2 linked regions of the Ovis aries genome follow. The protein of the gene in region 1 purifies or fractionates together with the protein of each later gene. This does not show direct contact. Links are inferred from orthologs where the notes say so. Each region holds a gene or a part of one and is shown in the gene's direction. Other genes may lie near its edges.

Region 1 (3,815 bases):
TGGTTTCCTTTACTGTTTCAGAAGCTTTAAATTTAGTTTGATGTAGTCCTACTTGTTTGTTTTGCTTTTGTTACTTCTTAAATTTATTTTAGAAATCAGTGCTCCTGCCATAAATGGAAAATAGCTACAAAATATATACAGTACAAAGTGAAATTATGAATTTCTAGCTGGATTTGGGTGTCCGCCTGAGTTCTCAGTGCCTGATAATCCTTTTCTTAAAAGGGAAGACTAGTAAAATGACAAAGTTGTACTTGTTAGGTGTCAAACGACACCCTGGCAGTGAAAGTAAAGGATGCTTTCCCTTAATGTAATTAGGGGGATTGAAAAAGAGTAATTTTCTCTCCGTGCTACTCAGTGTGGGTCTCTAGTACCACAGCAGATGGGGTGGGGTTTGCAGTCTGTCCTCTGGGAGGCCAGCATGTAGCACTCAGCCTCCCAGAACTTGAACTGGGAAAAAGAGGAGTCCAAGGGACTGGCAAGAGACCATGGCCCCTCTCTGGCTTGTCTTTGGTGGATGAGGTTTTACTAGGTGTGGAGCAGAGAAGTTTGGAAGCACAGTCCTCCAGTGGTAGATGGCTCTCTCTCCCTCTAGGAATCAACACTGAATGTGGACTTGGATTTCAAGCAGCCTTTCCTGGAGTTGAATCGTATCCTGGAAGCTCTGCATGAACAAGACCTGGGGCCAGCATTGGAGTACGTTGGCCTTTGGGTGGTCCCACAGGGGACAGGGCTTGTCTGCTCTTCGCGTCACCCAGCATACTTGACGCACCTCCAGTCCTGTCTCACGGGCCTCACATAAGATTTTGGAGGCCCTGCCAAGCCCCCTTCTCTTGCCTTACTAGCTCCCACTCAGCTGGCCTCTTTCTCCCCAGGTGGGCTGTCTCCCACAGGCAGCGCCTGCTGGAGCTCAATAGCTCCCTGGAGTTCAAGCTGCACCGACTGCAGTTCATCCGTCTCCTGGCAGGTGGCCCTGAGAAGCAGCTGGAGGCCCTCAGCTATGCCCGGCACTTCCAGCCCTTTGCTCACGTGCACCAGCGTGGTACGTGCCCAGGTGCTGGGGTGGCCCCTACAACATGCATTCCCTTATGCTGCTCTGTCTCACATGCTATACTGCATGCCCCCCCCACTGCCCCCCCCCCCAAAAAAAAAAGATTAGCTAGTACTGGAGCAGAGGGACAAGAGCCTGAGACCCGCTCCTTGGACGCAGCTGGAAGGGTGGGGAAGAAACTGAAACCCCTCCCTATGTCACGTTGTGCGGTCATGCTTGCCACAGAAACAGCCCTGAAACCTTACTTCCTCACTGGGTTTTAGGGAAAACTGGCTTTGCCAGAGGGCATTTTAATCGATTGGCCAGGTCATGGGCCTGGGAGCCATGGGGCACAGCCTGCCCCCCATACTGCCTCTGCAGCCCTGCCACCCGAGGGCTGGAGGCAGAGCCCGGAGAAAAGCTGCCTCCTTGCACCCTGATTCCCTTTTGCCTTGTAGAGATCCAGGTGATGATGGGCAGTCTGGTGTACCTGCAGCTGGGTTTGGAGAAGTCACCCTACTGCCATCTCCTGGACAACAGCCATTGGGCCGAGATCTGTGAGACCTTTACACGTGATGCTTGTTCCCTGTTGGGCCTTTCTGTGGAGTCACCCCTCAGTGTCAGGTATAGTCAGCCCTGAGGGGGCAGTACAAGTGGGCGGGCTGAGGGAAACCCAACTTGTCAAGGCCCTGCCCTGTCCAGGGGTGGTGTTTGGTGCCTTCACAGACCTAAACTGGCTGCTCAGTCACTCTTCCAGGTAGGAATTACCTTTCTTTCTAGTACCCCTCCCAGGTGGTGCTTGTGGTAAAAACCTGCCTGCTATGCAGGAAACATAAGGGACGTGGGTTCAATCCCCGGGTAGGCAAGATGCCTTGGAGGAGGAAATGGCAACCCACTCCAGTATTCTTGCCTGGAGATTCTCATGGAGAAAGGAGACTGGTGGGCTACAGTCCATGGGGTCACAAAGAGTCGGACATGGCTGAAGTGACTCAACACACACTACAGCTGGAGAACAGATTTAGAGTTGTGGCCTGGGGTCACCACAAGGTCAGTGGCAGAGTCAGGGTTCCCATTTTGTAAGGTCTCTTGAATGAAGTCTGTGCTTCCTGCACCTCACCTCTGGGTAATCACAGGACCCTCTGACGGCCCAGCCTTCTGGCCACCTCGTGTCTCAAACACCACTTCCCTCAGGGAGACTGAGTAGCTGAGTCACAGGTGCTGAGAGCTGTCGCTTTGACGGCTCCTTTACAGTAATATTCTCATGGCTTCAAACCAACCCAAGAGTTACAGGTGCTGTTACCCTCATTTTACAGGAAGAAACAGAGGCTCCTAAGGCCTCATAGGGAATGAAGGTCACCTGGACCTGACCCCACCACATATACATGTGTGGTGTATGTACATACAGTGGTGTATTTTATTTAGGCTGGCCGTGGAACCGCATGGGGTGCATTTGTCTGCCCAGTCGTGATAGGCTCCATCCTCCAGTTTCTTCCCATGGACTCTGGTTACAGAACATTCTTCCCCAGCACGAACATGGGCACCTTAGGCCGGTTCTGTTTGCACACTTGCTCTGCGTATTGTAGGGGTTTGGCACCCCAGGCTCCAGCCAGTTGGTTCCCCATCCCCACCCCAATCCTAGTGAAAACTGAATCTACTTTTTCCCATTTCTAAGTGCCCTGGTTGATAACCAGTTATAGACGTGCACTGTGATGACAGAGTGGGGTACACAGGCAGGATGAGGCCCTTCCGAACATTAGTGTCCCTGTCACACCGAGGATGTATCCGTGGATGAACAGGTATCTGGCCCCTGGATATTCCTTTTGTCCAAATTTTGGGGTGCATTAGAATGACTTTCTAGAGTTGAGACACAGAACCATGTATGTGGCTTTCTGCATGACCTGAGAGATTTTTAAGGACTGGTTTGATCAAGTGCCACTTTGAAACCCTGTGCTGAGTCATGTACTGACAGCGTGCAGTGCCTTTTGTCTGTCTGCTGGGCTCTTGGTCAGGCTGGTCCCTCCAGCCCCTACTCTCTGTTCTGCAGCTTTGCCTCTGGCTGTGTGGCACTGCCTGTGCTGATGAATATCAAAGCTGTGATGGAGCAGAGGCAGTGCTCTGGGGTCTGGAGTCACAAGGACGAGCTACCGGTGAGGCCCAGTGTGGGGGGGGGGAGGCACAGCCTGAAGCACTGGGGAGGACAGCGCCACAGGAAGGGGGACTCACCCCACTGTTGGCCTCCCCAGATTGAGATTGAACTCGGCATGAAGTGCTGGTACCACTCTGTGTTCGCGTGCCCCATCCTCCGCCAGCAGACGTCAGATTCCAACCCTCCCATCAAGCTCATCTGTGGCCATGTCATCTCCCGAGATGCACTCAACAAGCTCATTAATGGAGGAAAGTAAGTTCCTGGGGTTCTCTCCCACCTTAGGTTGATTCTTCTGCTGGCTGGCCACCTGAGACATTCTTGGTTCTTCTCCCTTTGTAGGCTGAAGTGTCCCTACTGTCCCATGGAGCAGAACCCAGCAGATGGGAAACGCATCATATTCTGATTCCTGCTGGGGAGGAACTTTGTTGCAAGAGGTCTTTCACCCACAAGCCTTGGTCTGTCTCGGTGGGGGTAGTTGGCTTCCGTGAACTGTGGTTCATTTCAGAGCAACTGGCTGAGGAGTGCCACCACAAGCAGGGCCGGCCCTCTGGCAGAGGCCAAGGAGGGAGATGAGACAGCCTACAGCAGGCAGCTGGCTTCTTGATGAACGGCAGGGAAACTGGCGTCTTGTACTCCTGCTCT
Region 2 (3,815 bases), on another chromosome or scaffold:
GGGCTGGCTGCTTTTACTGCCTACTCCCAGAGCTATGCATGAGAAGATAGCCTGTATTTCTTATTATTCAAAGGATCGGTGGTCTTTTTTTTGAAGAACTCGGCTTTCTTTGTATTGAAAGTCTTTTGCTGATTCTCAGGCTGTCTCTCACTCCCCCTCCACTGCTGCCCTCCTGTTTCATAGCCCCTGGTTGCACAGCCCTGTCTCTGTCCCGTCTCTTTAGCACTCCAAGCAGAGAAGTGTCAGGGTTTTACTTTGTCACTTAACATCCGTACTTGACAATCCAAGATGCTGTAAAATAAAGATAAATTAGTATCTCAACACATCTTACCCTTTTCTCTTTTCCTTGAATTCAGAGACATGAAAAATGCTGTAATTGGAAACAACAAGCAGAAAGCCAACCTCATTGTTTTAGGAGCTGTTCCAAGGTAAGTTTGCTACTATCCCCTTTTCTGCTATTCATATGAAGTTTCAGATGTGTTCTCATTCTCAGTCATAAGACCCTTCTTTTTTCTGTATTGTCTGTCCTACTTTTTTTTTTTTTTAATAAATGCTTTGAAGTATATGAAGCATCTCTTTTAAAAAATTAAGATACCAAGGAGTGGAATATATGAATACTTTTTACAGGTTTGGGAAGATCATTGACCCTGCCATAAAAGGACACGTTGGGTAAATAAGCAATGTACACCATCCTGATTCTTCCCGGTCTCCTCAGAGCTCTGGCAACTTTTATATGATGGGATAATAATTTCTTAGGATTCTCAAAACCTTTTTTGAAACTAAAAAAAAAATTTATTTTTTGACCCTGCTTTTTAGAATTTGCTGGCTTTTAAATTAACATAGAAAGTTTCATGTCTTCTGATGAAGCTATTAAGCTTCTTTTTGGCAGACAGTGATAATTGTTTAACTGCTTCTTTGCCTTTGCTACCCAGAATTAAGTTTTATGTGCAGTTACAAATTTTTCATTCAGAATTTTTAAATGTCTTGCTTTTCTTTCTTCTTTTTTCTTTCGTGTCTTTTAATGTAGGATTGTTTAATGGTTTTGTTGTTTTTATTATAATCAACCATTGGTAACTGTAAAGCTGTCAGCAGCCTTTCTTAGGGGACTAGTGCTCAGTATATATAAATATGCTTTAGGGAGCATGAAGGATGTACCTTAGAACATAAAGGAGATAGTCATATGTTGTAGACAATTGGAATTTGGGGAGTAGTTTTTTGACAGGCTAGCCTAGAATAGAATAGGATCTTTTGATGCCCCAAATAGGAGAATCAGAGAAAGAAGAGAACTTCCCTTGTTTGAAGAGCTGCACAAGGACTCTGAGTATTCCCTCTAGGCTAGATGTCTGTGATCTCTGAACTGTGGTAGTGGATATTCAGGGTCCTTAAGATCCACCAGCACTTGGCTTTGGGAATCTTCATATCTTGAAGTGTCAGATAATGTGGACTGTCGTGCTGGCTGTTTCTACAGGACATCGCTTGTGGACAACTCTCAGATTTTGAAGTTCTGACACTAAGATTGTATGATAATTCTGTTGTTCACAAAGAAGAAAATCTCTTTTGGTTCTCCCCGCTGCCGATATTCCTTTATTAAATTAACAGCTTATATAAAGATATGACCATTTCCTAGCAGCCTGTAAACTCACCTACCATATTTTCAGTGTGTGGGATGTATTGGTAGCCTTTTCTGTAACATTACTTTTAGCTAATGTTTACTTTTAAGTTTTTTAGTCTCTTCTGTTTATCAAGTTCTTTCTTTTTAGATTATTGTACTTGCTTCAGCAAGAAACCTCAAGCACAGAATTGAAAACTGAATGTGCAGTGGTATTGGGAAGTCTTGCTATGGGTACTGAAAACAATGTTAAGTCTCTACTAGATTGCCATATTATCCCTGCCTTACTGCAAGGTATGTAAGGAAGTCATTTTTATACAGGTAAAAAGTAGAATCAGTTTGCAGCGTTTTAAATATAAGTTGGAAGCATGAGTCTCAAATCTGTTTTCTCTTAACAGGACTACTGTCCCCAGACCTGAAGTTCATTGAAGCTTGCCTCCGATGCCTGCGCACCATCTTCACCAGTCCCGTCACTCCAGAGGAACTACTGTATACAGTGAGTTTTAGGTGTTTTTCAATCATCAAGTTACATTTTTACTAACAGCATACTTCTGATTTACTTAGCTTAGCATCTCATAACTGATCTTAGCTGTGATAACTATGTTATAGAAAAGTCTCAAGAAATATTTGAATTGCTAATTTGCAAATATCAAATGTTCTAGGCTTTGTAAAGCAGTGAAAGGTAGTCCCAGACCTTGAGAAATTTATAAGCTGGGGTTTTTTGTTGTTTTTTGTTTTGTAAAGACCTTTCTTAATTTCTTAAAAGGAAACACATTTAATGCACTCACTATAGGTTAAATCTGGTAGAGGAGGCTTTATGGAGAAGGTAGAATTTGACCTGATCTTGAATAATGGATAAGATTTCAAGAAGTGTAGAGAAAAGAAGCTGTTCTAGGGCACATCTTTGAAAAAGAGAATATGCAGGACAGTGGACAGAATAGTTTAATGCAGGAAGGGAATCATTGTTCATTTCAGCTGAAAAGGTGAACCAGAAGCACTTGTTAGAGGCTTACTTACCAGGCTAGGATCAGAGAATACATGTGAGAGAATCTAAAGATCTTCAGAGTCATTCATTGGTTTTCAGAAACTTCAGGGATTATTAGAGTGTATTTTTATCTGTTGCTTATCTGGGGCTTTCTTAATAAATTTATCAAGGCTAGTATTTTTTAAACTCTCTTATCCACAATTCACAGTAGAATTATATTTTCTACGGCCACACTGTGTGTGGGGGGTGGGAGGTGGGGGCGCAGAGTGGTGGTGGGAATATCTTGAGATAGTCTTCACAAAACAATTGCATAAATGTGGTGCCTTCTGACTTCTATTTTATCCTTTTTCATTTTAAAAAATGCTGGTTGTGATTCTCTGAGCTGAGATGCAGAATCATAGTTTCAAAGTGGACACATATGTATTGGAGATCTTGTCCAGGGTCATGTTTTACAAATACTTCAAAAATATAAGTAGTCAAGAGGCATAGGCAAAGCAGGCAGGGAGAGGGACATGTCATGTGCCTCCAGAGTTTGTTTTTCCTATATTAGACACTTGCTCCTCTGGCCTGTAATGATGCCTAAGGTCTGTAAATGAGGCTTGTGGGTCATCTCACACAGCAGGGAGCTAAATTATGAAGCATCTTGATTTTATACCTTGAGGATTTGTGTAACATTCTTTGGGGAACCATGGCTCATAAATCCATAGACCATTTACCACAATGGTTCTCAAACTTGAGCAGGGACCGAAATTACCTGGAGAGCGTATTAAACACAGAATCCTGGACCCCTACCTCCAGAGTTTCTAATTCAGTCAGTGTGGGATGGGGCCTGAGAATATGCATTTCTAACAAGTTTGCCAGTAACTGGTAAACTTTAGTATCTGGTAAACCAGATGCTACTGGTCCACTCTCTGAGAACCACTGGTTTACTGTAAGCATTTCTAAATTGAGGAAGCATTCTCACAGCATTCTATATAGAACTCTCCATCTGAGTATCAGTCTGTTTACTTAAGGATTTCCGATTGTCATTTTTACAAAGAAATTAAGCCAATCACTCATCTTCTTTACCCTAGAAGTTTTTCCCCAACCCTCAGCCCAGTATTGGGGAAGGAATTGACCCTGGTCAACTTACTCAGCTCCTTCCTTCTCTCTCTCTAAATTGATTTCATGATCTGCTAATGGATTGTGGTTCGTAATTTGGAGAATGCTGCTATATACCAA

The links.
Region 2: the proteins of RMND5B (region 1) and ARMC8 purify together in Homo sapiens (affinity purification with mass spectrometry; 4 studies listed by BioGRID and IntAct, with this or other methods). This does not show direct contact. The link is inferred for Ovis aries from reciprocal best matches to the Homo sapiens genes RMND5B and ARMC8.

The regions. Positions count from the first base shown.
Region 1 is NC_056058.1:36,944,691-36,948,505, forward strand, and holds part of RMND5B (E3 ubiquitin-protein transferase RMND5B), read left to right. Parts: intron 1-592; coding exon 593-693; intron 694-872; coding exon 873-1,039; intron 1,040-1,485; coding exon 1,486-1,651; intron 1,652-3,071; coding exon 3,072-3,174; intron 3,175-3,270; coding exon 3,271-3,425; intron 3,426-3,512; coding exon 3,513-3,576; 3' UTR 3,577-3,815. UniProt on the Homo sapiens protein: Core component of the CTLH E3 ubiquitin-protein ligase complex that selectively accepts ubiquitin from UBE2H and mediates ubiquitination and subsequent proteasomal degradation of the transcription factor HBP1.
Region 2 is NC_056054.1:251,535,271-251,539,085, reverse strand, and holds part of ARMC8 (armadillo repeat-containing protein 8), read left to right. Parts: intron 1-356; coding exon 357-428; intron 429-1,760; coding exon 1,761-1,903; intron 1,904-2,007; coding exon 2,008-2,105; intron 2,106-3,815. UniProt on the Homo sapiens protein: Component of the CTLH E3 ubiquitin-protein ligase complex that selectively accepts ubiquitin from UBE2H and mediates ubiquitination and subsequent proteasomal degradation of the transcription factor HBP1.